3 linked regions of the Caenorhabditis elegans genome follow. The protein of the gene in region 3 purifies or fractionates together with the protein of the main gene of each other region. This does not show direct contact. Each region holds a gene or a part of one and is shown on either strand. Other genes may lie near its edges.

Region 1 (7,351 bases), 920 kb from region 3:
AAAATGGGTATTGTAAACGGGGCCTTTTTGCACTTACGATAGGGTAATAATTTTTAAAGACGGACTGCAATTGTTCATAAGATATTTAAAAAGAAAATATACTCTCAGACTTTAAATGACGCTTTTCTACTCTTGAAGGATCTATATGTAGATCTCTAAATCACTGCAATTTTTCAAATGTGAATTCTACATTTTTATTTGCAGTGACAGAATACTTTTTGCAAGGACATATTTTTCTACTCTTTAGACACTGATTTCAGGATAAATGTGCTAAAATTATAATTGGTTTTGAGTGTCTAAGAATAACTTGACTTCCGTTTTTTCAAGCATTATGAAAGATTGATGTTTCCTTTAGATTCCAGAGTGTAATTGAAACTGATTTTCAGCCAGAAGAATCTTCACGAACATCGTCATTTGATGGGGGATACTGTTCATCTTATCCATCATCATCAGCAGCCACCCATCCATCTCCACCTGGAATGTTATATTCAATTGAAAACAATTCAATTTTACAATACTATCATTCAATGGAAACTGGATTATGCTCGAAAAGAAGAATAATGTACACAAATACTGGTATGGACTTCATTCTGGATACTCATGCAAATTTGCAATGTGTAAGTTTTCATGATCATATTTTTAATTTATAGTTACACTTCTATGAAATTATTATTTAATGGCGAATCAGTTTGTGAAAATTCTCAGCATTTCTCATTATTTTCAGCCGTTCACAGTCAATGATCTACGCCCACACGATTACCGAAATTTTCGTGGAATGCTCAGACATGATTTTGTAATGCTTTTTGACTACGCAACACGATTTCCAGAGTTTAATAGTTTTACGAGTCATGAGAAAGTGAGTTAATACTACGCAATTAGGCTTCTCAAATTATTATTTTCTGCAGAATATGTTCTATCGGCAAATTGTTGCTGTTGATTTTATATTGTCTTCCGCATATTACACGGCAAAGTAAGTTTTTTTTAGAAATGACTAAAATGAAAATAAAATGATTTCAGACTCGGTCAAGCACATCGTCAAATGGTATTGACAAATGGTGAATATCTGAATATGGATCCTTTACCAATGTCCGGAAATGAAATTGATGCCAGACGATATTTTGATTGCGATGAGGACTTTTCAAAGTATAGGTAACTGTTCTGCTACAACAATTACAATAATTGCATATAATTTCAGAGCTCTAATGCCAATGCACATCGCCATTTGGGAAGAAAGCATCGTCCCATTTTCCAAACTGAATGTCACTTTTGAAGAATTTTGTTTGTTGAAGGCACTTACAGTATGGCAAGCTAGTGAGTTATTTTTTCACGTTTCAGAGATAGCTTAACTTGTGTTTGAAACTCTTACCACTTTTTTTCCAGGCGGGTGTTTATTTAGTGTTAATTTTTAAATTCATCATTTTCTCGTAAAATAAACTCATATTTTGGCAGTAGGCAGGTGAAGGTGGCATATCAGACAGATATTTTTGTGTCTACACGGAGGAGTGACTCTGCCAAAGTGATTAACACATTTAGATTTGTTTTAAATAAAAATTCAAATACGATATACATAAGTTCATAATCTTTTTAAAAAAATGTATTCAACTTTCAAATTAATCCTTCAATAATTTCAGCATACTTCAAGCTAACTGAAAATGGCCGTGAAAAATGTCGTAGACAAAGGAATATCATAATTGGCTTTCTATCAAAAATGTGTCATTCACCAGGTGGAGGCGGAGAGCATCGTGTTGGAGAACTTCTGATGAGTATGAATTATCTCAGGGTTTGTTTATTTTTGTATAACAGCTATCCAGCAAACAAAGGATATTACAGGAATCTGCTCAAAAACTCACAACTTCTTACGTGATGCTCACAGTTTTCAATGTTCTCAACTGTGATTCAATGCTTCATGAAATGCTTAATTTTCAATACTAGCTAAATATTTGTGTGAAAGTGTTTTATTATGTTCAAATTTTATTGTTTTATCATGATCGTCAATAAAACAAGGGCAAATACTGTTTTACTACTTGATCTCTTACTACGTGATCTCTTTTACTATGATTTGCATACATAGATCTTTTACGACGTTTTACTCTTTTGCTACAACCGTATTTTTTACTCCGTTATCCCATTTCGATCTTTTGCTACAGTTTGTATCTTTTGTTACGGTGGACATTTTTACTACAATGACAAGGATTGTATCCTTTACTAATGATTTTTTACTACATACGAATTAAAAATTAATTTTCATAGTACATATATTCTAGATATGAACAAATGTATGAATATTTTTTAAAAATGCATAGGTCACAGTTTTAGTTTGTTCTCAAGTAGTTCTAGTAAATTTCAGTTGTTTTCTTTTGATGGGATACTGAGTTGGAGTTCATGGAGAGATACTGTTGGGTTACTGTAGTTGTACTGTGGTAGTAAGAGTTTTCAGATTATATCGTTTTTTTTTTTAATTTCTAGAAATTGATTCATTATGAAATGATCAGAACTTATTATGAACATTTGGCTCTAGATATTAAAAAAACACGATATGCTCTTTTGTTCTCTTGTAATCATGAATAAGGATCGCTAGATACCCACTCCTGTTTGTGCGCGATTATAAATAATCCCCGAAAGGACATTTCCAAAATTACCGTTTCCCTGGACATCGTTTTCCAAAAATACAAGCTCTAAACGAGAGCCCCTTGATGTTTTTTATTTGGTTCGAAATTTTATATGTCTGCATAATCTGAAAAATTAATTGGAAATTCCGAAGTTATGAAATACCGCGTGCAATTGTTCAAAATCTTTTATTCAAACTTCCGCCTTTTTGCCCGCGGCGGCCGCGTTTGTGAAAGTTCTTCCATTCGCTACGTACACCTCGTGGACAAAGTTAATTTCACTTTTTTAGAAGCATTTTCTGCAATTCTGTTCAATTTTTGTTTAATTCGTTACTCTAATCGTTTTGTTGTATCAATGTCAGCAAAAAGATTTTTATTCCAGTATTACGTAGATTTGTTTGTGTTTAGCCGACAAATTGAGCTTCACTATTGCGTAACCATTGTTTCCTTGAAAATAGAGCATATAAATTTTTTTCAGATAAATGTACAGAAGACTAGCCTCCGGCTTATATCAGGTAATTTAAACAATTTTGTTTACAGTGAAAGTAATTTATTTTTCAGACTTCCCAAAGAAGAATCGCACAAGTTCAGCCGAAATCAGTATTTGTCCCAGAAACAATTGTAACGACACTTCCGAATGGGTTCAGAGTTGCAACAGAAAACACAGGTGGATCTACTGCTACTGTAATTATTTTTCCTAAATTATTTGTTTGTTCAAAGCTATTTTTATTAGATCGGAGTATTTATTGATGCCGGCAGTCGCTACGAGAATGAGAAAAACAATGGAACAGCTCATTTTCTAGAGCATATGGCGTTCAAAGTTAGTTTAATTTAATTTTTAGAAAATTTTGAATTTCATATAAAAATCCGAATTTTTCAGGGAACGCCTCGCCGGACTCGAATGGGATTGGAGCTTGAAGTTGAAAATATTGGAGCTCATCTAAATGCGTACACTTCTAGAGAAAGCACGACGTATTATGCTAAATGTTTTACAGAAAAGCTTGACCAATGTAAGAAATAAAATTATTAATGCAATTTTTAAAATATCTATTCCGAATTGCAGCCGTCGATATTCTTTCGGATATTCTTCTGAACAGCAGTCTTGCCACTAAAGATATCGAAGCAGAACGTGGTGTAATTATTCGAGAAATGGAAGAAGTTGCACAAAACTTTCAAGAAGTTGTATTTGATATTCTTCATGCTGATGTTTTCAAAGGAAATCCTCTTTCCTATACAATTCTTGGTCCAATTGAATTAATTCAAACAATCAATAAGAATGATCTTCAAGGATATATTAATACACATTATCGAAGTGGCAGAATGGTATTAGCAGCAGCCGGAGGTGTCAATCATGATGCGATTGTTAAAATGGCAGAAAAATATTTCGGAGAGCTCAAGCATGGAGATTCTTCAACTGAATTCGTCCCAGCCACTTACAGTCCCTGTGAAGTCAGTTTTTGTTTGAATAAATTCGCTATCAGCAAATATTAAATAGAATTAACAAAATATATTTTTAAATGTTTACATTTCAGGTTCGAGGTGACATTCCAGATCTTCCAATGTTGTACGGAGCGATGGTTGTCGAAGGAGTATCTTGGACCCATGAAGATAATCTTGCCCTTATGGTGGCTAATACGGTACTTTTTTAAAAAATATTTTTATAACTTAGAAGTTGATAGTTCATCATTCCAGCTAATGGGTGAATACGATCGTATGCGTGGATTCGGCGTGAATGCTCCAACTCGCTTGGCTGAAAAATTGTCACAAGACGCAGGAATTGAGGTTTTCCAATCATTTAACACGTGCTATAAAGTAATGAATTCCTGGGAAAAAAAACTCTTTTTACATATTTCTGTAATTCAGGAGACAGGATTAGTTGGAACTTATTTCGTAGCTGCTCCGGAATCCATCGACAATCTTATTGATTCAGTTCTTCAACAATGGGTTTGGCTTGCGAACAGTGAGTTTTTATTTAACATAGTCCTGAGTCAACATCTTTCATTTCCAGACATTGATGAAGCAGCGGTTGATCGTGCCAAGCGCTCCCTGCATACGAATCTACTCCTAATGCTCGATGGCTCAACTCCAGTCTGTGAAGATATTGGTCGACAACTCCTTTGCTACGGTCGTCGGATACCAACTCCAGAATTACATGCCCGAATCGAATCAATCACAGTCCAGCAGCTCCGAGATGTTTGCCGACGTGTATTCCTTGAAGGACAGGTCTCTGCAGCAGTTGTTGGAAAGACGCAGTATTGGCCAGTTAATGAAGAAATTCATGGAAGATTGATCAGAATGCAATAGATACATGTGTTATAGTTTATTTGTTAGACAAACGTTTTGTTTTTGGTAAAAATAAATTCTAAAAACCCGTCAAAAAGTGAAAAATACAGCATCAGTCAATTGTAAATTGGAAGTGGGTGGGCTTCAGTGTTGAGAACCCATCGATCGAGTGGAAGGATTTCTTGATCATCAGCCATTAGAAGGTAAAGGTATTTGAGGGTCTCAGCAAGGAAGAATGATTCCATTTTGTCACGTCTGAATTTGAATGATTAAAAATTAAACAAAATGCTGACAAACCTTTTGATCTTCTTTCTGAGCACATTGTCAATTGAGCTGTATCCACCAGTTTCCACTTTTGCATACTTTTCAATCGACTCAAAAGCTTTCCATCCCCACTCTTGATATTTCTTATCTTTAGTAACACGATACAAATAGAACCACGCTTCAATTGCTTCTGGACGGAGAAGTGAATGAGCATCAAGATTCTTCACATAAGTATCCGCTTGTGTCATATCAGAACTATCCTCCATATTGAAATGTATTATTTCTGGTCCAAGTCCTGTTGGATTTTCATACATTTTATGACAAACATTTCCAATATTTTTAGCCATTTCCAAATGTTCATTGTCATGATCAAGACCATTTAAATGGGAAAGTACAAGAGATCCGGAAAGGAAACAGACAAGGTGATCCATTTTTGGATAGAACTGTGCCAATTCGGTTATTTCACCGAGAAACCAGATGCTATTCGGCTGAGATTGTCTATAGAGATGCTTTTTCATGGCGGCAATGGATTGAATGAAGTCGTCACGCAGCCAATCAATTGATTTTTTGGTTTGAAGCCATTGCTTGATAAGATATTCGTAGTAGCTGTCAGCACGAGCTCCAAGAGTAATACCTAAAAAGAAGAAGAATTTTGTTAAATTAGTTGATATTCAAACAAACTTGATTTTTTGAATTCTCCTTTTCCGTCAATGTAAAATGGGCACAGTCCATCCATCTTTTTACATCCAACATTGTGAACATGCTCCGATGCTCCGAACGCCACATCTTCATACTTTTGATCACCGGTCAAGGCTGTCAAGTCTCTGAATTCCAATTGTAAAGTGGTGGCTTCAGCTAAAGAAGAAAGATCGCGATTTGGACTGCAAGCATTCCCGTTATCTAGGTTTACATCACTTTTTGGTATTAGTGAAGACGATTTAGTGAAGGCTTTGATCAAATTATCTCCAAGCTGAGTAGCTTTTTCAAGGAGCGCCTGAAATAATTTTAATTAGTTTTTTTGTTTTATATACAGATTTTCGTCTTACTTCTTCTCCTGTCAGATGATACCCACTCAACAGTCCACCGAGAACTCGAATTGTGGTCTCGAATACATTAACGCTTCTGGCTGGAGACACGTTCAGATTTTCCCGAATCCATTCAACACCATCGCGAGTTTCTGGAAATTAATTTTTTTTAAATTCAATTATAAAATTTCAAAATACCTTCTTCCAATCCCATTATTATCGCAGTATCTAAACTATCTATAATGGTAAGTCCAAGCCCAAAAGAATCGTCAAATCGCTTTGAAACTGGGCGAAGTTCATCATGACCCCATGCATACTTTTTATATCCAGACCAAGCATGCTGGAATGCTCGTACAATGGCTTTTTGTCTTTCATTCGTAGGACCTGAAAAACTAGGATTTTTAAACTTAAAAATAGAATTCATGAAATCAAAAAAAAACCTTGAAAAACTGGCGGCGCTCTTTTCAACTTGGTTGCCTTTGGTGTGCCATATGTTTCATTCGAATTTTGTCGATTTGCCGAGTTTGTTCCAAAAAATTTCTGTCTTCTAGGATTGAGAAGTTCTGCTGGTCCAGCTAGATTCAGATAAAGTGCAAGAAATACGAGTAGTTGCATATAAGCAATGAATAAAATAAAGAGAGCTGTAAATAAGTATGAATTGTACACAGCGAAATAGAAGAAAAACTAACTTTTTCGATTAATTTTTATGCGAACCATCGGAAAATGATAACTTTACGTTAATAAAGTCAAATAATTTTTAATAAAAGAGTCTGTGTCGAATTAACTGAAAAAACAGCGTGGAAAGAGTTGTGGAAACAGTGTTTTTAAATTAATTTATAAATTTGGTTTTTCAGCTGGTCGAGAAACCGAGCGTTCAAATTCTAGTCCACGAAAAAAAACGTGGAAGTTTAAAATTCATTAGAAACTTACCTACGTGATTTTAGTAAGGTTTTTTGCATGTAAAAACAAACGTGTAGTTATTTGAACTGAAAAATCGCAAATCAAGGTGTCGCTGTAAAGTTCAGTTTATCAGCGATTTCTATCCGTTATTTTTCGTTTCACATGTAATGAAAACGGACGAAAAAACAGCTGAAAGCGGAGGCAAGAGAACAAAAATTGACGCACAATTTGTTTGGAACGATTTATAAGTTTCCAATGTTTAGTTCCTACTTC
Region 2 (6,620 bases), on a different chromosome or scaffold from region 3:
AAGCCAAAGCCTGAGCCTGAGCCTGAGCCTAGTTGTAAGCATAAGCCTAAGCCCGGCCCTAGTCCTAAGCCTAAGCCTGGCCCTAGGCCTAAGCCTAAGCCTAAGTCTTTGAGTTCTGAGCCTTCTCCTTAGCATAAGCATACGCCTAAGTTTAAGCCTAAGCCTATACCTAAGCCTAAGCCTGAGCCTGGGCCTAATCCTAAGCCTAAGCCTAAACCTAAACATAGTCCCGTGCTTAAGCCTATTGATAAGCCTAAGCCTAAGCCCAAGGCTAAGAAACTAAAAAACTATTCTACTCACTTCCGTCGACAACTTCAATTATCAAGTCGCCATGCTTCAGATCCTGCTTGTACATATGCTTCACATCTTCTTCAAGTTTCTTAAAACATCCAAAATCTGTGCACAGTTGTTCGAGCATCTCACTTCCCAAGTTTTCCGGCCATTGTTCGTTATAAATGTACGATTTCAAGAATATCTCGACCGCGTCTTGTTCGAATTTCAAAAATTTTTGCTCGCACAAATCAAAGTTTTCCGGGTTCTCATCGTAGTTTGCCGAGATTTTGAGATTTGTACATCTTTGAGAAACGAATGCGCGGTTAGCGCGAATTGAGGTGAATTTGAATAAGATATTCAGATTTCCTGACACGGTTCTCCCGCTCTCGAAGTCTCTGAGGAAAGAATTTGTCGGTTTTCTTGAATTATCACATAGTCGCTGAAACTCGAGTAGCTTCGAATCGGCTTCAAATTCTGCTAGAAGAAGGTTGAGATCTTGAACTGGCCAACTTTTGATGAGTTCCTCGAACGGTCGGATTTGGTCTCGAGTGGAAGATTTTCTCTGCAAAAGATTTGTCGTTTATTATTTAATTTATTTATCCCGACGCCACGCGGTTCTGGCTTAACTTAAAAATTGAAATGGAAGAGTTTGCGCCGAACTAGGCCATTTTGGCTCGTCCATATCTTGGGTAGATTTACGGCGCGTTGCGTGTCGCGTCGCGGCTCGATTTTCGTTGTGTGGAGTACACAACACTTTTCCACGCGTTGTCCGGCGGACGATTGTCAATGGAGCGCAAAAAATTAAATGAGGAAAGCCAGTACTCCTGGTGACGCGGAAGTTGGACGGTCTCGACACGACAAATATTTTGCCAAATGCGATAATGTGTGCGCCTTTAACTAGTACTGTAACTTCAAACTATACATTATGGGAACGAAACAACATATTTGACGCGCAAAATATCTCGTAGCGAAAACTACAGTAATCCTTTAAATGACTACTCTAGCGCTTGTGTCGATTTACGGGATCTCGATTTTTGAAATGAATTTCGAAATTAAGCAAAAAATTGGAAAATAATTTCGCTGTCACTAGAAGAAATTAATTTCAAACATCGCTCCCGTAAATCGACACAAGTCATTACTGTAATTTTCGCTACGAGACCACGAAATTCTAAAAATGCGCATTACACAATATATATTTGACGCGCAAAATATCTCGTAGCGAAAACTACAGTTTTAAAAATTAAAAACGATTTTTTTTCAACTTCAATGATTTTTTTTTGTCATTTTTGTGTTTTTTTTTAATATTTTATCGATTAATTAATGATTTCTGTAAATCGACACCAGCGCTACACAATCCATTTAAAGAATTACTGTAGTTTTCGCTGCGAGATATTTTGCGCGTCAAATATGTTGCACAATACGCATTCTCATAATTTTGTGTTCCCGTAATATATAATTGATGGAAAAAAACGAAAGTTTGAAGTTTTTACAGTTGGATTTAAAGGCGCACGCACACACTTAATTTGCATTTAACAAAAGTTTGTCGTGTCGAGACCGGATATCGTATTTTCGGATTTTAAAATCCGTTTTTGATATTTTCAGAGTGCTTAAAACTTACTTTGAACGAAAACTTGAGTCGCGAAGTTGCTCTCAACACATTTCGAGCGCTCCGCAAACCGTTTCTCGGGGAGTTTTGACTGGTAGAAGTGAGACTAAAAGTTTAAAATTTCCATAAATTATTTTTATTTTTTACTACGCACCTTAATCTATCTTGTGCAACTTGTGAAGAATTCACTCCCATATGTAGCTTCTGTGGAAAAAATCTGCAAAATCAATAGATTAATCTGATTATTTCCTAGATTGGAAAGGATCTTCAAATAGTGAAGTTCTTTTTATGCTTTCAGATATTCAGAAAATTAGATAAAATTCGTATTATTTATATATTTATATTATATATTATTTATATATTTATAGGTATGTATTTTCGATCAAATAAATTCAATAAAAACATGTTTTTATTTCAATAATGCATGTGCGCCCCATCGCACGCGTTGCGCCGCAGCCGCTCCGCAGTCACGGGGTATTCATCTCTCTGCCTCGCCACGTCATTTCTCCCGATTCCACAGCTTTTCCTGGCTAATTTTATCCATTTTTCGACTTTTTAAAAGCTTCCAGACGTTCTTTATTGTGTTTCTGATGTTAATATCTGCCTATTGGCGTGATCAGAGTCGAAATTATGCCGAAAAAGTAATTTTTATCGATAAAAAAGTCTTGCGAAATATTTTCTAGCTTTGGAGTCTGTAAACTGATCCGGTGGAATTTTAGAATTTTTCCTTTCAGGAAAAATTCTTTTACTGATAAAAGAGTCAGGTTTTCTTGCACTGTTCGTCTGGATAAAACCGGTTTTCTCTCGTTGCTTTCTCTTTTGTTTACAAACCGCACCGCGATCAATAAATTATACACGTTGTCTCCTGTTGCTGACCGATTTGTCATATGATTTGTCACCGTTCTCATCTTTACTTTCGCAATCCTTTTTGACACTCATTTTCCTCATTCTCGCATCGATTCCTCATGCTTTATTCAATTCGCAATTTATAATTTTTCAGGGGGTTCCAATTTATCAGATCGACAAAAAGGAGATGGCAGCAATGAACCCTGAATAGTGAGTTTGCGGCAGAAGAATATTCGGTTTCTAACAATTTTTTTCCCAATTTCAGCGACTACCTCTTCAAACTCCTCCTCATCGGAGATTCTGGCGTCGGAAAATCGTGCCTGTTGCTGCGTTTCGCCGATGACACATACACTGAATCATACATCTCCACTATCGGAGTTGACTTTGTAAGTTTTCAGTATTTCCGTCGAAATTATTTATTATGATTTTGTAATTTTCAGAAAATCCGTACTATTGAGCTCGACGGCAAAACTATCAAGCTTCAAATCGTGAGTTTAACCAAATAAAATGGCGAATTCGTTTTAAAACAGTTATTTTTCAGTGGGACACTGCTGGTCAGGAACGTTTCCGCACAATTACATCGAGCTACTACCGCGGAGCTCACGGAATTATCGTTGTCTACGATATCACTGACCAAGTTAGTTTATTTTCCTAAAAAGCTTATAACAATAAATATTATGAGCATTTTTCAGGAGACATTCAACAACGTGAAGCAGTGGCTTCAGGAAATCGATAGGTACGCATGTGAGAACGTCAACAAGCTGTTGGTCGGAAACAAATGCGATTTGACAGCGAAGAGAGCTGTGGAGACTCAAGCTGCCCAGGATTATGCTGGACAACTCGGAATCCCGTTCCTCGAGACATCCGCCAAGTCATCGACGAATGTTGAACAGGTTTGTTGGGCTAAAAATGATTTTTAAAAAAATAAAATCACATTTCAGGCCTTCCTTACCATGGCTTCGGAAATCAAATCACGTATGGGACCAGTTCAAGGAGCCGGAGGTGCTCCAGGTGTGCGTATCACGGGAAGTCAACCGGTTCAAGACAAGAAGAGCGGTGGATGTTGTTAATCGAAACGATAATCTCTGTGATACCCCCCTCTTCGGCACTCTTTCACCATCAAGCTCTTAGTCGTATTTTTTTGTTTCTTTCCACTGAAAATTTTCTAATGCAACCCCTCTTCCTATCACTCTAAATTTTATCTAATGTAATTTTTTTTTGATTTTCACTTCTTTTTCTTCTGCTGTCTTTTCTCTCCCCTTATAAAAAATTCCTTCACCCACCCCCAAATTCACGTCGTAACCTAAATTATTTTCTTTTTTGAATGTGTGTGTCTGTGTGAATGTACATCCCCACGATTTTACGCTTTTTCTCCGCGAAAATAGATAATTTGTGTTGTGAAAAAATATCCTTTCCCCCTATCCACCACCCAAATCACCCCCTTCAAAAAGAGTTTTATATATTTGCTTCCCTCTTTTTTTTGTCTAAGCCCTATCCATAAACTTAAATGTGAATTTTATTGTGCTTCTGTTTTAGTTTTTATTTATCAATTATCTTTAGGCGAACCATTCCCGGAAAAAGTCGAATTTCGATAACAAGTACAACAATTGGAGGATAATTAACGCGATGCCGACCCAGAACATATCGAATATCGGAATTCTACGTGGCACCTCTGGTTCGTCCGAGGATGTGGCGGTGGCGGCATTGGAAGAGAAGTCCTCCTCGAGACAGTCGATAACCATCGCGTCTTCATTCTCGATAACAATCCCGAGACGGCTAGCCAACTTCTGCAATGAAGCATGTATAAGTGTGGTGCAGTCAAAGATCCTTTATACCTTCAGCTCTCGAGCTCCAAGCACGGCGACTTCTCCTGCAGCATTCCAATGCAGCAGTGCCAACGCGTCTTCGGCACTCCCAATAAGTTCACCACTGCCAGATGGTGCACGATTCCACTGCAACAGTGGATCGATTACATTTTCGAAAAGTTCGTCGGAACTTCGTGGAGCTCCGATGTAGAACCACATGTTTCCGGATGCAAAGTCACAGTCCTCGACGGTGGCTCGGATCTCTTGACTTGTCCAGATCTTTGCATCCGTTGAAACGTAGATGCTGTTGTCGTTACCGGCACTCGTCGTCAGAATAGACGTGGCAGGTCTCGATGGATAATGGTCGAACGGTGTGGGATTCCACGAATTTCGAACAATTATGTAGGCCGGCCGGTCGGCGAGAAGAAGCTGAGCAGCCATCGGCAGAAATTCTGTTAGCCATTTTCGTGAGCCGGCAGTTGTTGGATTGACACACGCCTCCATGAGCCACATTGGAGACTGAAACTGAAACTTGTAATAAAAAAAATATTTTTGATCTAAAGTCGAGATTTTTTCTGGGAAAATCAGAAAATCTCGTTTTTTTTCCCCCGATTTTAGCTAAAATTTTAGGTGGTTGCCTTTCAAGTCCTATTATCCAATAGCGAAATGTTGTAATTTTCGACGCAAAAGTACGGTAACCGGTCTCGACACGATTTAAAAAAATTATATTTTATGAAACGATGCATGCGCCTTTAAAAAGTATAGCTATTTCGCAATCAGCTTCGGCTTCTTTAATTTTTTCTTGTTTCTTTTAAAAATTTAAAGTTTTTTTTGTGAAAATTGATAAAATTATAAAGTCATATACTATGGGAACACAAAATTTTGAGAAGTCTGCGTATTGCGTAACATATTTAAAGCTCAAAATATCTCGTGGCGAAAACTACAGTAATTCTTTAAATGGATACTGTAGCGCTGGTGTCGATTTACGGGCTCGTTTTTTTTTTTTTTTTAAATTAAATTTAATTAATACGAAAAAATGAACGAAAATAGAATCGAGCCCGTGAATCGACACCTGCGCTACAGTATCCATTTAAAGAATTACTGTAATTTTCGCTATGAGATATTTTGCGCGTCAAATATGTTGCGAAATACACATTTTCAGAAAAAATTGTATTCAAGTAATACAAAAAACATCTGAAAATAGGAAAAGTGCAAGATTTCGAGACTACTGTACTTTTTAAAGGCGCACACTTCTTTCTAAATTTTCGGTTTTTACCTTTTTGAGTCAAAAATCAAAAAAAAACGCATCTATAGATATATGTGTCGATTTACGCAGCTCGTGTACTCCTCGAGGAGAACATTTTCCAGGCTAATCCCGGGGTTCTGGTCTTCCTCATTGAATTTTTTGCGCTCCATTGAAAATCGCCAGACGGACAACGCGTGGGAAAGTCGTGTACTCCACACGGACAAATATATTTAGTCTTACAACTAAAATCGAGCCGCGACGCGACACGCAACGCGCCGTAAATCTACCCCAGATATGACCGAGCCAAAATGGCCTAGTTCGGCAAACTCTTCCATTTTTATGAAGGAAGCCAGAAATCCGTGCAAACGGAAACAAAAAATATTTAATTTTCTAATTTTTTTGGTTTGCTCCGGAAAACTTTAGAAATTAAACAAATTTGTGCACTCTTGCGGAATATCAATAGCTGGCCGAGTTTCCGATTTTTCTAGGCCCCGTCGCTTTTTTTGTGTGCCAAAATACTCACTTCTTCCCGTTTGTTCCGTGGATCAAAATTTCCATTTGTCTTCTTCTTTTTCTTCGTTAGCTTACTACCATCGTGGACTGTGTTAGAATAAGACAAAGTAGACATTGGGTAAGCCGACTGAAAATTAAAAAAAAATCAAAAATCGCCTTTGGGCTCGCCGAGCACACACGTTGTCATCGCACCGCTTTTTTGGGAGGACTTGGGGCGCAACGACGACGTGGCTGGTTTGGGAAAAAAGTAACGGGAAACGAAACGCAGGGACGAAAAGAGAAAAGAGGTCCAATTTGGTGGAAGAAACAGAAGAAAGCCGGAGGAAAAGCC
Region 3 (7,757 bases):
GCAATCGTTGGCCTAATAACTTGTGAAGTTGGAAAACTCTACGAAACTGATAACGCTTAGGAAAAAAACTGCGTTGAATACAGAAAGTCGACTAACCATTCAATTTTCACAACAAAAAGTGAGCAAGAGCGGGAACGGAAATATGATGACTAACAGAGACGCAGAGAAATAGAGAAAACATGGGATTGACAACAAATAAATAGAACTACGAATGAAAATACACTTTTCAGGGTTTCACTGGCCGAAACTAAAACGTAAATTGTTATTATGTATCGGGACAATTTTACCACCTCAGTTCATCTAATGAAAAAGTCATCAATTTATAACCTCATTCTCTAAAATATTTTACCTGATTACAAAAGTAGACGCCTAAAACATCAATTTCAAACAATTCCAGAATATTCTTAAAACTTACCTTTTTGGGCATATGCCAACCCGGATCATACTTCCTGATATATTCCATATACATAATGAAACAAGGACTAAATTAAAATAGAGAATATACGAGTAAGCATTAAGGATATGTATTTTCTATCCGTCAACAAAATCCCAACTATTATTATTCATTGTCGGCTACGAAGCAGTGTATCAGCGCCAGCTTCTGCGTGGTTGCCACGGCAACTTTCCCTCTAATTTTCTGGGCGAACGAAGATTAAATATAAAAGAAAGCGAACGGAGAATGCGTTTATTCTTGTGATTTGGTAGAAAAATCAGTTCTCATTTTGAATGGGGTTTTCACCTGCTGTTTCGACTAAAAAATCAGAGTGAAATTCGGCGAACACTCATTATCTTTTTGTTGAAATAGCAAAACAACGGAAAGAAACGAGGATTCTTAAATTAATTGAATCTCTGAGAGCTTTCTTTTCAAGCTTCTTATGAATTAAAAATTGTTAATTCAGATTTTTTAAAAATAGTTTTCCATTTCAACTTACATTGACCCCAGAAAGTGTTTGCTGCTTTGGCGCTCCGACGATCGTTCCGTTTCCTACGACTGTTGGTTCTTCTTCGTCGTCAGTCTTGGATCGTTTCGCCGGAGGATATTCGTTTTCTCCTTCACGCTGCAGCTTGTTATTGGTGGCCTTGTTGTTAGTTTTGTTGGCCGATGTTAGCTCAAGGATGGTAGTCATTAATCACGAAAGATCAGAACCACTGAAAATAGTTTTTAATTGATGAAAACTGATGCAGTTCGAATAATGGTGGCTTAAAAGAGAAGAATCTGATGATGAGCTTTCGGCGAGAATTGAGATTGAAAAGCGAATGATTTTTAACCACTGCACGTTTCGAAAAAATGCGAAACAAACTGTTTGTGGAAGATTCTAGAAGGATGAAATTATTGATTTTCATTTGAAAAAAGTGGCGCGCTTGCGAAATGAAGAAAAAGGAACATAAGTGGAAAATGGCGCCAAGTTTCTCATAGAAATATTAGCAGTAAAATAGAGCGCTTTTGCATTTTTCTTCTTTGACATAAAAACATCGCTATCGTCGTCTCGTAGTGTTTGTGTTCCTTTTTTGCGAAAGAAATTTCTCGATATTTCTAATGTATTTTTAAAAGTTCGTTCGTATATGTTTGAAATCAGCATTTTCAAAATTTAAATTGTTTCTTCTGTTTATCGAGTTCGTGCTGACTCTGCTCACTGCTTTTTCCAAAGGAACTTTGAATTTAAAAGATCTGTTTGGATTTGACAAATAATTCACGTATGGTGGTAAACCAAAAAGAAAACATCACATACATAAACAGAGAAGATCCCCAATTCAATTTTTAAAAGTTTTTCGAATAATGAAAAAAACAATATAAAATTAAAGGAATCAAATAATCAAATACGTTGGAACAAAACAAGAGAATGAGGGAGTCAGTATAATTTCAGGGAGCGACAGTGCAATAAATTTAAAGTTTTGAAGATGCTTCACGGCTTCCAGGGCGTACTAGTCATCCTTGCACAAAATGCCACTTATCAACATCTCCTGGTAGTGGAGCATTTGCTCCATGTTCTGGGGTAGCGCCAATGGCAGTTGCGGCCGCTTCATCAGTTCCTTGGTGAACAGCTTCTGGAACCCGAGAGACTCTGAAATTTGAAGTTTAGAATATTAAAAGCGATGAAATCCCTACGTGTTCAAGGATGGGTTTGCTTCCTTGATGAGAGTCTTCCAATATTCGTTGGTCTCATCGATGACTTTCTCCGCGTATTCTCGGTTCTTGAACTCTCCATTAAAAGCGAACTCGTTGGCTGGTTTTCCTGCTGGAATCTTGTAATTGCGGAACCATTCAACAGATGCCTGAAAGAAAAAAAATGAAACGTATTTTGAAAAATGTTTAATCGAAACTTACAGCCAATAGTCCAGGATAAACCTTTTCGACGTCATCAATGTCATTCAACTTGTCAGCATTCTCATCGTTGACATCAATTGCGACCAATTTCCAATCGGTCTCTCCTTCGTCAATGAGAGCCAATGTTCCGAGAACTTTTACTTGCAGAACAGCTCCCCGTCCGGCAACCTTTGATCCAACTTCAATAACATCAATTGGATCATTGTCTCCTTTAGCTCCAGTGTCAGGAACAACATGGTTTGGATCTTCCCATGTCTGTGGAAGAGCTCCGTAGTTCCAGATGTATCCTTTGTGTGGGAAAATGTTGTGAACAAAGCGAGCTACACCCTTCTTCTCATCTTGCTTGATTGGCGAGAATGGTTCCTTGGTGGCCATTTCCATTTTAGCATTTGTCCAACGTGGAATCTCAACAATCATGTTGTAAACTCTCTTGTCCTTGTTGGCGAACAATGGAATATCGTGCCAAGGAGATACGATTCCTTGTGGTCCCTCTGCAAAATAGATATTAGAACCAATAATTATAGCAGCTTCGACTCACTGATATAAACTCTATAATCCAAACTATAAAGAGATCCACGCTCGACGGCTTCGTAAACTGCTGAATCTCCGGCTCCGGTGCTCATTTTCACAGCTTGACTTTGCAAAATGACAGCAGTCTCCGACAAGGGCCTGAAAAATAATAATAATGCGAATATTGAAAACTACATGTGTTTGCGAGTGGAATTAGATGCTATCATGAAAACACTTCTACACTCATAACAGCCAATTATAAGTATAACAAACTTGTTTGGGTTTCGGAAACAACGACCGCAAAAGAGCCAAGAGAACATTTTTCACAAGGTTTTTGTTAAACTAATCTTTAAACATTTTGCCACTCGAAACTATTAAAACGTGGATTTGCAAAAGTTTTCACGTTAAAAGTTTAAAAAAAAAATACGCCAGAATTTAAAATGCGAATTCAAATAAAGACAATAAAGCAACTTGAAAATAAATTTCCAAACACAAAGTGTCATTTTATAAGCATGTGTACTGGCATCTTTGAAAAGTATGTTACATAATTATAGGCAACATTTCTTTATTCTTTGAGCATTTGGTGACGGACTAGTCTTATCAGCTGACACCGCCCGTTTGCAATGTGAGGTGACGGGGTAAAGTTTAGTACGCCTACACTTCATCTACAAGGGGCTGCTGGACAAACTGAAGTTTTGGAGAAGGGTTAAATATTTTTAAACTACGTTTTTTCTCAATATAAGATCTAGCAGCGATTCGAGCATGACCCAGATTTAGATTAAATAATTGTTTTCTTTTCTTTTCCGCTCTACCAATGGATGTGAGTTATTAGAAAGTGATAGAAAACATCAATAAGGATTATATAAAACGTTATCCTCCCTTAAAAACGACACAGACACAAGAAGGAAGAAACATCAACACGCAACCTCGTGTGCAGACTCCTCTCCGAATTGGCTGACATTTGTCGTTGAGCTCCCGAAGAAGAGGTGGAGACGGCTGTGGTAAGACTGCCACGAGGAGAAGGTAATTGGACAGTTGAGCTGCCGGAATCCATTGAAGTGGTGTGAATCGCAGAAACCTACACATAACCAAAATAAAACTAGAACAATACTCATCAGTCTTGCCTGTGTGACGTTTGTAACTGGACGCGATGTCCTTGAAGTGGCCCATTTCTGTGAAGTATTTGAACTGCTGGTGGATGTTGTTGCAGTGTTTGAAGATGACGAGACAGTGGCGATGGCGCTTTCTTGGCTCACGGCACAGCCCATAATAAGACGAGTTGATAACAAAAATCCTCTCGCCGTGGCCACACTTCGACAGCTCAGTATCATCTAGGAAGAGATGAGGACAACTACAGACATTTGTGAGATATATGCGGAAAACACGAGAGACGCTGTGGCGCATGCACATTTTCAAGCAGTTGGTGATATGTGTGGATTTGGTTATGTCGTCATGATAGAAGCAAGATTAAATTGAAAATTGAAACATAAGGCAGGATAATATCATTCAACGATTATCTAAACCCTGTGGCTCAAAACAATCAGCATAAAAAACTCTCACCTGGGCCCAAAAGAAATCCTAATTTCAGTCATGAAATTTTTGAACATCTCAATATAGATAACATCAACTCAATAGAGGTTTAAAATAAATTTGCACAAGCTAATTTTCTTGTCTAAAAGGCTCTTCGCATGTTTGGTGATAAATGGCTTCTTGTTCAATGGCACGGATAAAAGTTATGGAAGACATGCATTTTCAATTTCCTTATCGCAATAATATGTAGCTTGAAAAACGCAGAAAAAATAAAATTAATCGTTGATGTTCCTAATAAATAACTCCACTCAGTATTGATCAATGTATTTAATCACTCTTAGCAGATAATTTTACAAATACTGAATACATTTTTGAGAATTAATATGTATAAAAAATAACTAAAAATTTGATTAAGATAAAAACAAAACAAGAATAGCATTGCCAGCGCAGCAATTTGTAAAAAATAGGCCTACGAAAATATAGCAGTGTACACACACATCACACCACAAACTACATGAAAATGCAGACGCAACCCTCAGCTACGGTAACAGTGAAATATTTAAGTCTGAACGCATAAAAATAAAATAAAAATCCCAGACAGTTGAGAAAATATGCTAAATATTAATTTGCATTTGAAAACCACCAAATAGGAACAGTCGAATGCAACAAACCTCGTAGCCAAAAATACAGCGACTGTGAAAAGTATAGCAGCCATCATCGCGATCAGCGGCTTGTTTCGTTTGGCGATCAACACGAGGCCCATCAAGAAACGACCATCACTGAAAGATCAATCAAAGAACACTTCTGGGAGGAGAATCTAATATTGAAAACCGCTTGGACTTGTTTTTGCTCTGTGAGCAGTCTTCTCTTATCAATACCTCTCGGTTTCTCCATTCGCCATTGTATTACACTGATTACAAATCACAAACGATGTGTCATAATTGTTGGTAAAACTTAAACTCTTATTGATTTTAGTAGAATGTAAACATATGATTTCATTATTCTATCTTCTTTTGATTTATTTCTAGATCATTGAAATTCATATATTTTAATGCTAACCGGAAAAAAAATATTGCTATCACAGAACTAAAACCACATAAAATATAAGGCAACAAGAAATCAGATATGCAATAGTACAAATAAATTATAACCAATCGTGAAGAACCGAATCAACTCCAATAACTTTGAACAATTCACGCATTTGAGAATGACGAAGTGGTGGGGTTCCAAAAGTGAAGTCTGTGGCAGTTTCGCAAAATGATGAGTTGGTACGTGGCAATGGTTTGAGAGGTGGATCATATTGAGATGGCGGAGTAGGAGGCAGATTGAACAGCGGGGATATTGGAAATATGTGACCCTGAAATTACTTTTCTAATTGTAAGTAAGAATTCCTAGATCAGCAATATTCATACCTCTGTTGAAAAAAGAACACTTTCTTGCTGTTCCTTGTTAATTGGATGATCTACATCGAACAACAAGTATAAATACTTTAATGTTTCTGATAAGAAAAACGATTCCATTCGATCTTCAAGACTTCCATCAATGACATCATGCACAGTTGCGAAGCCACATTTTACTCGAGTAATTGTTTCTAATGAATCAAGAATTTCCAGTCCAACATGCTGATAAAATGGATTTTTCGTAGCAGTGTACAATAGATATGTAGATTCAACAAATTCTGGACGAAGTGGATAAAATGAGACATCAGGAGCTTGTAACTGCCAATTGAATCGTTCGGGTAGAACTCCGTATTTCTTCCAAATTGCATAGTAAAGGGCATGATGGCACACAGCCTCGTCGACTTCACCAGCCAAAACCAGAACTCCTGCGAAACTTGCCTGAAATTGAAAGTTTACTAGAAACAACAATATGTAACTGTCACCTGAAGAGAATCGATCCATGTATTTGAAGTGCTTCCATCTCTTGAATCAACATTTACATAAATTGGAATATCACCTTCAAGACTGGAACACCTAGAACGACCTCGACGCATGTATGTTGTGATACGAGCAAATGATTCATTATACATATCTAAATCTCGTTGATTACCAAAAAGGATGTACGACTTTAGCATATATTCATAGAATGAATCAATTCCAGCACCGAGGCCTGCTAAGTGACCAAGCCATTCTCCAGTTTGAATGTCAATTAAGTTTCCTGAAATTAGATGTATAAAGTTTTGCAACACAATTTTTAATTTTCTCAATACCATGCAATCCAGTGACCTCATTTCTTAAATTCCACAACTTTTCATTAACTCGTCGAGCAAGTCGTTCATAGGTGTCATCTCCAAGCAGCTTTGACAATACACCAAATTCAAGCAATAGACTCCCCGCGCCTGATGTACATGTAGAGTTTGTCGTTCCCGGAAGAATTCCCTTTTGCAAGTTTATACGGGTGTAAGGAATTCCGGTGGCCGTTCCATCGAACGCTGGTAAAAGTCGCCCAGCTAAATCATGGGCAAGTGTTAAAAGTTCTCCACCGTAGTCTGACATATAGAAAGGACCAAATCGATTAGTTTTATCGGCAGCAATCATATGAGCAGCCAGAAGACCACCCATCACTCGAATAGTTGATTCGAATACTTGAACTGTTGTATTCTTTTCAAACGATACTGTTTTAATTACAAGATTAACAGCTCGTTTGAATTCGTCTGCGTCTCCTGAAAATTTACAGATTCAAAATATATGTTTTTTCTAATGTTGGAGTATCGTCAGTAGCTATTTTTGCATTGTGCAGATTCAAGCCCCTAGAATCTTTAAATACTTTTTTTTGGTTTTTTTTTGGTTCGCCACTTTTTGATCATAAATTTAAAAAATTCAGAAAAAAATTAGTTTTAATATGATAGTTGGATATTTTCGAACAAGCGGTTTTTCCCTACTGCAGTTTTAAATTTATGATCAAAAAGTGGCGAACCAAAAAAAAAAAAACAAAAAAAAGTATTTAAAGATTCCAGGGGCTTGAATCTGCACAATGCAAAAATTTTCAACGTTTTGGAACATTTGACAATTACCAAAACTTTGAATTAAATTTTCGAAAAAATCTAAACATTTTGGGTTTGTTATAATCAGACATGTTGGGCTATCATGAGTATTTTTAGACTAAATTTCCACTGACGATACTCCATTTTTTAATTTTGACAATTAATAATAACTTTTGAAAAAAATTAACAAACTTACCAAAAACCACAAGCGAATCCAAAGTGTCAATTAATCCCAACGAGTAATCTCCAAGCACATCGTTAACATTAATATTATCTCTGAATCTGTTATTGAAACCTCTCTCTTTTCCTGCTCACTTACGGATTATCATGATCGTGTCCACGGCCTCTACAATGAATTGGATCTAATTCATCTGCTGGAAATGCATGTTCCATGTAGTTATCCCATCC

Evidence for each region. The genes of interacting proteins can lie anywhere in the genome.
Region 1: the proteins of pyp-1 (region 3) and mppb-1 fractionate together in Caenorhabditis elegans (co-fractionation; one large-scale study listed by BioGRID). This does not show direct contact.
Region 2: the proteins of pyp-1 (region 3) and rab-1 fractionate together in Caenorhabditis elegans (co-fractionation; one large-scale study listed by BioGRID). This does not show direct contact.

What each region holds. Positions count from the first base shown.
Region 1 is NC_003282.8:9,071,589-9,078,939, forward strand, and holds mppb-1 (Mitochondrial-processing peptidase subunit beta), read left to right. Parts: upstream 1-3,084; 5' UTR 3,085-3,088; coding exon 3,089-3,121; intron 3,122-3,167; coding exon 3,168-3,290; intron 3,291-3,339; coding exon 3,340-3,426; intron 3,427-3,486; coding exon 3,487-3,616; intron 3,617-3,669; coding exon 3,670-4,055; intron 4,056-4,138; coding exon 4,139-4,243; intron 4,244-4,298; coding exon 4,299-4,418; intron 4,419-4,469; coding exon 4,470-4,566; intron 4,567-4,614; coding exon 4,615-4,910; 3' UTR 4,911-4,983; downstream 4,984-7,351. Other genes in the region: Nuclear hormone receptor family member nhr-11, read left to right, coding at 387-617, 725-856, 906-970, 1,018-1,149, 1,196-1,311, 1,632-1,780, 1,831-1,932; mans-4 (alpha-1,2-Mannosidase), read right to left, coding at 5,006-5,144, 5,187-5,787, 5,835-6,147, 6,200-6,330, 6,377-6,562, 6,619-6,819, 6,868-6,895. UniProt on the Caenorhabditis elegans protein: Catalytic subunit of the essential mitochondrial processing protease (MPP), which cleaves the mitochondrial sequence off newly imported precursors proteins. Preferentially, cleaves after an arginine at position P2.
Region 2 is NC_003283.11:1,260,249-1,266,868, reverse strand, and holds rab-1 (RAB family), read left to right. Parts: upstream 1-2,879; 5' UTR 2,880-2,912; coding exon 2,913-2,935; intron 2,936-2,990; coding exon 2,991-3,111; intron 3,112-3,165; coding exon 3,166-3,213; intron 3,214-3,266; coding exon 3,267-3,362; intron 3,363-3,417; coding exon 3,418-3,618; intron 3,619-3,666; coding exon 3,667-3,795; 3' UTR 3,796-4,252; downstream 4,253-6,620. Other genes in the region: C39F7.5 (BACK domain-containing protein), read right to left, coding at 301-835, 1,892-1,985, 2,034-2,074; C39F7.1 (uncharacterized protein), read right to left, coding at 4,282-4,512, 4,561-5,055, 6,300-6,404.
Region 3 is NC_003282.8:9,993,797-10,001,553, forward strand, and holds pyp-1 (Inorganic pyrophosphatase 1), read right to left. Parts: upstream 4,168-7,757; coding exon 3,961-4,167; intron 3,915-3,960; coding exon 3,763-3,914; intron 2,996-3,762; coding exon 2,865-2,995; intron 2,818-2,864; coding exon 2,327-2,817; intron 2,275-2,326; coding exon 2,108-2,274; intron 2,064-2,107; coding exon 1,928-2,063; 3' UTR 1,589-1,927; downstream 1-1,588. Other genes in the region: uba-1 (E1 ubiquitin-activating enzyme), read right to left, coding at 933-1,127; C47E12.3 (alpha-1,2-Mannosidase), read right to left, coding at 5,511-5,723, 5,779-6,204, 6,249-6,523, 6,576-7,028, 7,546-7,625, 7,669-7,757. UniProt on the Caenorhabditis elegans protein: Catalyzes the hydrolysis of inorganic pyrophosphate (PPi) forming two phosphate ions. Plays a role in intestinal development and subsequent normal secretory, digestive and absorption functions. Required for larval development.